Xenopus tropicalis: one gene and its partner. The main gene of each other region encodes a partner of the protein of the gene in region 2 in a complex. Links are inferred from orthologs where the notes say so. Each region holds a gene or a part of one and is shown on either strand. Other genes may lie near its edges.

Evidence for each region.
Region 1: the proteins of eed (region 2) and ezh1 are in contact, whole or in part, in a cryo-EM structure (PDB 7KTP), measured with the Homo sapiens proteins. The link is inferred for Xenopus tropicalis from reciprocal best matches to the Homo sapiens genes EED and EZH1. Residues at the interface, in NP_003788.2 of Homo sapiens: Cys84, Val85, Asn86, Ser87, Leu88, Lys89, Glu90, Asp91, Trp103, His104, Ser105, Lys106, Glu107, Val112, Arg120, Leu123, Tyr124, Gln129, Gly130, Glu131, Ile132, Arg133, Leu134, Leu135, Gln136, Ser137, Tyr138, Val139, Asp140, Tyr154; in NP_001982.2 of Homo sapiens: Gly37, Ala38, Lys39, Leu41, Tyr42, Val43, Asn45, Phe46, Lys48, Val49, Gln50, Lys52, Thr53, Gln54, Leu56, Asn57, Glu59, Trp60, Leu63, Arg64, Val65, Gln66, Pro67, Val68, Gln69, Ser70, Met71, Cys83, Thr84, Ile85.

Annotation. Positions count from the first base shown.
Region 1 is NC_030686.2:22,264,845-22,268,590, forward strand, and holds the end of ezh1 (histone-lysine N-methyltransferase EZH1), read left to right. Parts: intron 1-289; coding exon 290-371; intron 372-609; coding exon 610-690; intron 691-1,142; coding exon 1,143-1,227; intron 1,228-1,642; coding exon 1,643-1,703; 3' UTR 1,704-3,174; downstream 3,175-3,746.
Region 2 is NC_030678.2:168,824,227-168,828,138, reverse strand, and holds the start of eed (polycomb protein eed), read left to right. Parts: upstream 1-1,347; 5' UTR 1,348-1,430; coding exon 1,431-1,535; intron 1,536-3,912. UniProt on the Homo sapiens protein: Polycomb group (PcG) protein. Component of the PRC2/EED-EZH2 complex, which methylates 'Lys-9' and 'Lys-27' of histone H3, leading to transcriptional repression of the affected target gene.

The DNA of each region.
Region 1 (3,746 bases), on a different chromosome or scaffold from region 2:
TTTTCAAAGGAGTGTGCCTTGTCTTTTAGGTGTAGAAATACTGAGTTAATGTGTTCCGAAAAGGTCGCCACTTTGTTGGATCTGATTTTAACTCACGGGTGATGTTGGCTTACACACTGTAATAAATATGCCCTTCAGTGTATCCCTTGCAACATTATTGGGGCTGTGGACAAATTAGTACATGAGATGCTAGTAAGATGTTCAGATGACAAAAAAATGTGGGTTTTTATAAAAATCTGGTAGTTTTCTTGCTCGGTATTTATGTATTATCTACTTATTATATTTTTAGCTGATCTCTCAAGACGAAGCAGATCGAAGAGGAAAAGTTTATGACAAATATATGTCCAGTTTTCTCTTTAACCTCAACAATGGTAAATCAGTTATTTTATGTTCCTTAGTCATTCAGCACTTAGTTAGGGTATTCTTAAATGAGCCCTTACATGGTACAGACCTAACCCTGTGGTGTATATATATTTTCAGTTAAAATTGGGTCAGTCTAAATGTTACAGCTGGCAATAAGCATCTAATAATGCAGCACCTGGAAAGTAATCTTGGTATCACACCTTGTGCTTCACTTCTTATATTTTCTTTTTAATGCTTTCTCTTTAGATTTTGTTGTTGATGCTACACGTAAAGGAAACAAAATCAGATTTGCAAATCACTCTGTTCATCCCAATTGTTATGCAAAAGGTAATGTAAAACTGAGGGCATCCCATGCTGGTTATTGAAAAATAGTGACACTTCTGTCTCAGCTTATTGTTTTGTAATCATGTATTTATATAGCAACAGCAATTTATGCAAAGCTTTACAATAATACAGAGATCTGACACATAGGGGCTGATTTATCCAAATGTAGGTTTAGAGCTGAATACATAGTATGCCCTGACGTATTAGGGAATTAGAGATTTGCAATGAAATAAGGCAGGGTCAGCATGTGAGCTAGAAGTTAGTAAGGATTCACTTGGTCAAATCTGACTGCCCTCTTTATAGTGAGTCCTGTTCATTTATAATTTACCTTTTTTAAACTGGAGACCTCCACCTCTATTGCTTTCAGAAAAGCTCAGTACTTATTTTGGTCATTGAGGCAACAAGTAGATAGCAATCTGTTATACAACTAAATACAAATTTTGTTACCATTTAAGTGGTAATGGTGAATGGAGACCATCGGATTGGAATCTTTGCTAAAAGAACCATACAAGCAGGAGAAGAATTGTTCTTTGATTACAGGTAAGATGGTGCTAGATTTAATGGAATGAAATGTACAGTTTATTGATGTTTGATATTTGATATTGTAGCTGCAGATTGGGTGGATTTGGTCTGGAAAATGGACCATGACTTTGAGTGGGGGTTATCACTGCTCAGCTAAAGCACACACAACTTTTTATTTGCATGCTGAGGCTGGGCTTCACCTAGCTAGTCTCTTTGATGTCACCTCTGACATTAGCTAAGAGGGTGGGTTAGGCTTTGGTCTTCAAGTCTCTTCTCAACAGCAGGCCAGGTTGGGCCTGATTGACAAGGGGCAAGTTAGGGTGGCACACATCACCAGTATACAGGTTTTCTAGTGGGTTTCTGTGTTATGGATAATACTGGTTCGTAACGTCTGTTTAAGCAGTGTTTTTTTTCTATCTGATTTGTTTTTCAGATACAGCCAAGCTGATGCCCTGAAATATGTTGGTATTGAACGAGAGACTGACATTATATAATGTCTTCGAAATTTGGTTGTTTCATGTACTTTGTCACTGCACCTTGTGATGATGCTGTTTGTTGTTGTCTCTTTCCATTTTCTTCTTTCCCATCCCCTTTGAATGCATTGGGAATGGATGCCAGAAAAACTCCTGATATTGCCAGGCATCTCTTGTTCGCTCAACCATTTGCTCTTTTATACTGCTACCAGTGAATTTCCCCCTTAATGTAGGAAAGAGAAAAAATGGAGCAAATGAGGAGGAAATTAACAAATGAGAAGAGGTTGAAGGAAAAGAGTAAAAGAAGGAGCATATGACAAAGACTAAAAAAGAACTGAGAACAAAGTAACAGAAGAGGGATAGAAAAGAGAAAACCCAAGCAAGAAAAAACAAGGCATCATTGAAGAAGGACTATTTATAAGAATAAATGAAGAAAGGAAGCAATTACAGAGAAAAGAATAACTTTTAAAGTGTGGACCCGTTGTCTAAAATGTCCTGGTGGGCACATGGGAACTGACACATCAGTCTGACACAGGACTCCATAAAACTGTACTGTTGTGAAAAGAACTCTTTGCTGGCCATTAATTCTGACTATTCTGTTGCTACAATTTTTTTCTGGGTTCAAATTTTATCACAAATGGTAGGCATGCACTTGTCAAAAACATTAGGCTCATTGTTCCTTAGTTACACTGATCATTATGTTTAGGCCACTTCTCTATATGGAAATCACTTGTTTCACCCTCACAGCCAATCCTACACACAAAAACTACACACAGACATGTCCTGGAATGCGTAACAGGGTTAAATGGGAATATACAGGCCCTGGTTTCATAGACCAGGAAGAACTAGTGAATTAGTAAAAAAGTTGGAGGGAGCAGGCTGCCATGTCACTGAATAGGAATGATGGAAGAAGCAGTCCGGTATGTGACCAAAGAGTTGGCTGTCATGGAGTAGCATTGAGCAGTAAGGGAATAGGCAGCCACGTGAGTAGGTAAGAAGGGCAGGAAGTTCAAGTGGGGGAATGGGAATGCCATGTCAACTAGCAGGGAGGGAGAATAAGCAAGCAGGCATATCTCAGAGAGGAATAAAGAACTGGTGGGCATGCCACCAAGCAGGAAGGGAGTAAGTAGCAGACAGAAAGCTGGTGGAAAATAGGGGGTAGACATTGATGGACTGAAGTGTGGGGGACAGGGAAATGTTGATGGTTTGGTGGTGTAGTGTACTGTAAGGAAATGCTGACTGACTAATGTGGATGGATTAATGTATTGGTTTTCATCATACATTCTATGAAAAAGTCAACATTAAAATAAGCTTATAGTTTAGTAAACATTGGTATTCTATGACATATGTAGATATCAGTCTCTGCAGTGTCTGCACTCCAATGCAAAAAACCTTGTATCTTGTGGGGTGTGCAGCCAAATTTAATTATTTAGCAATAAATATGAAAGGTCCTGTTGAGGACCGAAACGTCAGATTTTTTATATAAGATGGTCGCATTAACCTTGTGACAATTTTATAGGGTGTGCCAGTCATGGAATATTTTTTGCTATACAGGTATGGGACCTGTTATCCAGAATGCTCGGGAGCTTTCCGGATATGGGATCTTTCCGTAATTTGGATCTCTGTATCTTAAGTATACTAAAAATAATTTTAACATTAATTAAACCCAATAGGATTGTTTTGCCTCAAATAGGATTAATTATATCTTAGTTGGGATCAAGTACAAGGTACTGTTTTCATAGTACAGAGAAAGGGAAATAATTTTAAAAAATTAGAATAATTTGCTTATAATGGAGTCTATGGGACATGGGCTTTCCATAATTTGGAGCTTTCTAAATAATGGGTTTCCGGTTAACAGATCCCATACCTGTATATATGTATGTATACACCACTAACAATGATTATGGATGTACAAAGGTATGAAACATACCACGGTCCTCAGCGCTTTAGATAAAGTTCCAGTGAAGTGCTGTAATGGCTGTGATACTGCTGCTCCTCTTACGAATATAACCCCTTTGACCGGGTCTCAAGCGTGTCCAGAAAAGTGTGAAGGGAGCGCATGTA
Region 2 (3,912 bases):
CCCAGACAATAGGAAGGCTGCCGCTGGCACCTACAGGAAGGGGAGAGAGATTTCAGTGATGTCACTGTAGGCTTCACACTGCTGTAGGCTGCCAGCACCATATCTCAGAGAAGCAAGCAGGGATGTGGGAATTTAGATATGCAGTAAGTACTTAAAAAGAATGCCTTTAGCCTTACTTTTAATTTATATTAACCTTTCATTGTCCTTTAAAGCCTGATGCACATTTCGCTCCTTATACTCTGGAGCTTAATCAAAAAGCTTGTCCTTTTCAGATCAGCATGGGTTCACCAAGCCAAGGGTCTTTGGGTTTTAAATATTGTGTCCCAGGACTGCCATCTTGAATTGTCTTCCAATGCTCAGCATTTATTTGTCTCTTCAAACCAAGAACTCCATAGGTGATGGAAGCCTTATAGGTTATTATTCAGGATCTACTTTCAAAGAAAGTCATTATTGAAGTTCCCAGAAAGGAAATATATATGTACCTGTATATTTTGCTCAGAAGTAAGCAGAATTGAGAATTCGGGGTTAAAAAAACTGTTAAACCAGTCTCAAAAGTAAAGGCATTCAAAATGGAGACTCTTAGGTCTTAGATGTTTATCTTCATATTCCTACTGTATAGGCAAAACATACAGAAAACTCCTGAAGTTCCATGTTCTGAGAAAGCACCTTCCGTACAGATCTCTTCCGTTTGGCTTGGCAAAAATCTTAGGCTCTAGGCGCCCATTATAGCAAATCTTCTTCTTCCAGGGGTGCAGATTTTCTCATATTTAGGGTGAAGACACACTGAGCTACTAGTAGCAGCTACTTGTCACGGCTACTAAACGCCAGAAAATCCCCTGCCATAGACAATACTGAGAATTGCCTCTGCTAAAACACACATAGAGACAATTATCGGTAAATGATCAGCATTGTCTATTTTATTGGGGCAAAGACACACTGGGCTACTTAGTAGCAGCTACTTTCTCATGGCTACTAAACGCCAGAAAATCCCCTGCCATAGACAATACTGAGAATTGCCTCTGCTAAAACACACGTAGAGACAATTATCAGTAAATGATCAGCATTGTCTGTTTTAGTAGCCGTGACAAGTAGCTGCTACTAGTAGCTCTGTGTGACTTCACCACATGTTGCTGAAATCTCTATCATTAGTGTCACAACTTCAGTCCATGGGTGGGTAATAAATTGAAACAAATCTCATGGGATTCCTGCCCAGAGAATAGAGTTTCCAGGAGTAAAGGAATGGTTGACTGTAATGTGACAAGTTGGCTTGGGGCTGGTAATTCCCAGTGCTGTATAACATAGAGCGCCTATTATATTGATACCCTTGCACTCAAAGTGCCGCACATGCGCAAAGCAGCGGGTCACATGGTCCCCCCCCCCCCAGGCTGCCAGCGGCGCACAGCTCTGACGTCACGTCTCGGCGGAGGAACATGTCCGAAGCTTCCGGTCGCACGGCGGGAAACGAGATGCCGGCCAAGAAACAGAAGCTCAGCAGCGATGAGAACAGTAACCCGGAGCTGTCTGGGGATGAGAACGTAAGGAAGGGGCTTAGTGAGGCGGGAACGCAGGGCGCACTGATGCTGCCGGGGTGCTGGGGTTATTAGCGAGCAGGCTGCCGGGGGGCTTCGGGGGAAGTGGGGCTAAAGTTACCGGAGCTGGCGGAACGGTGCGGGGAGATGCTAAAGGGGCGGGGGGCAAGGCGAGTGTTGTTGGGAGGTGTGTGGGGCAGAAGGGTTAAGCGAGCGGGTAGGAAGGCAGAACAAGTTGAAGGTGCTGGGGGGCAGGCAGGGGCACCTGAGGGTGCTGGGGGGCAGGCAGGAGTGGCTGTAGGTGCTGGGGGGCAGGCAGGGGCACCTGAGGGTGCTGGGGGGCAGGCAGGAGTGGCTGTAGGTGCTGGGGGGCAGGCAGGAGTGGCTGTAGGTGCTGGGGGGCAGGCAGGAGTGGCTGTAGGTGCTGGGGGGCAGGCAGGGGCACCTGATCGTGCTGGGGCCATATACAGGAGTGGCTGTAGGTGCTGGGGGATAGGCAGGAGTGGCTGTAGGTGCTGGGGGGCAGGCAGGAGTGGCTGTAGGTGCTGGGGGGCAGGCAGGAGTGGCTGTAGGTGCTGGGGGGCAGGCAGGGGCACCTGAGGGTGCTGGGGGGATAGGCAGGAGTGGCTGTAGGTGCTGGGGGGCAGGCAGGAGTGGCTGTAGGTGCTGGGGGGCAGGCAGGAGTGGCTGTAGGTGCTGGGGGGCAGGCAGGGGCACCTGAGGGTGCTGGGGGGATAGGCAGGAGTGGCTGTAGGTGCTGGGGGGATAGGCAGGAGTGGCTGTAGGTGCTGGGGGGATAGGCAGGAGTGGCTGTAGGTGCTGGGGGGCAGGCAGGAGTGGCTGTAGGTGCTGGGGGGATAGGCAGGAGTGGCTGTAGGTGCTGGGGGGCAGGCAGGAGTGGCTGTAGGTGCTGGGGGGGGTAGGCAGGAGTGGCTGTAGGTGCTGGGGGGATAGGCAGGAGTGGCTGTAGGTGCTGGGGTCAGAGAGGATCGACTGAATGTGTTGGGGGACAGACAGGAGCGGTTAAATATGATGGAGGCAGAGAGGAGCGGCTGGGGGGGGAGGGCAGCAGCACCTGGGGGTACTGTGGGGTGGGCAGGAGTGGCTGAAGGTGCTGGGGACAAGCAAGAGGGGGCCCAATTGGGGGTGGGCAGGTGTGCCTGAAGGGGATGGGGGGGTGGAGACAGGAGAGCCTGAAGGGGATGGGGGGGGCGGGGGAGACAGGAGAGCCTGAGGGTACCGGGAGTGGGCAGAAGTGGCCGAAGGTGATGGGGGGCAGGAGAGCCTGAGGGTACTGGGAGTGGGCAGAAGTGGCTGAAGGTGATGGGGGGGGGGGGGGCAGGAGAGCCTGAGGGTACTGGGAGTGGGCAGAAGTGGCTGAAGGTGATGGGGGGGGGCAGGAGAGCCTGAGGGTACTGGGAGTGGGCAGAAGTGGCTGAAGGTGATGGGGGGGCAGGAGAGCCTGAGCGTACCGGGAGTGGGCAGAAGTGGCCGAAGGTGATGGGGGGCAGGAGAGCCTGAGGGTACTGGGAGTGGGCAGAAGTGGCTGAAGGTGATGGGGGGGGGGGGGCAGGAGAGCCTGAGGGTACTGGGAGTGGGCAGAAGTGGCTGAAGGTGATGGGGGGGGGGGGGCAGGAGAGCCTGAGGGTACTGGGAGTGGGCAGAAGTGGCTGAAGGTGATGAGGGGGGGCAGGAGAGCCTGAGGGTACTGGGAGTGGGCAGAAGTGGCTGAAGGTGATGGGGGGGGGGGGGGGGCAGGAGAGCCTGAGGGTACTGGGAGTGGGCAGAAGTGGCTGAAGGTGATGGGGGGGGGGGGGCAGGAGAGCCTGAGGGTACTGGGAGTGGGCAGAAGTGGCTGAAGGTGTTGGGGGGGGGGGGGGGGGCAAGAGAGCCTGAGGGTACTGGAGACATGAGTGGCTGGAAGTTTTGGGGCAGACATGAGTGGCAGGGAGTGTTGGGGGGGTTTACAGAAGTGATAGGAATGCTATCAGGTGGAAGTGGCACAAAGCTGGGTTGGGAGCTGGCAAGGGGGCTGGGTGGGGAAGGGATCAGATGGTGTTGGGAAGTAAGCTGGGGTTGTTACAGAAGGGACAGAGGTGGCAGTAATATTACATAAGTGGCGGCAGGAGGGAATAAACAAGTGAGGAAGAGTTGGGAAAAGGCTTATGGGTATGGGGAACATACAGACTGAGTTGCTGTGGGAGCCAGAGGTAAAGGTGTAAGGCTGCAAGCAGAGGGAGAGGGGGAGCAGCGGGTACAGAGATGTTACACAAGTCACTGCAGTGGGGGGAAAGCCGGGGAGCCACTTGGCTCATAGTAATGTAATATTGTCATGTGGTATTGTTTAGTAACTAATGTGCCGTGCCTTGGAATAGTACAGCTA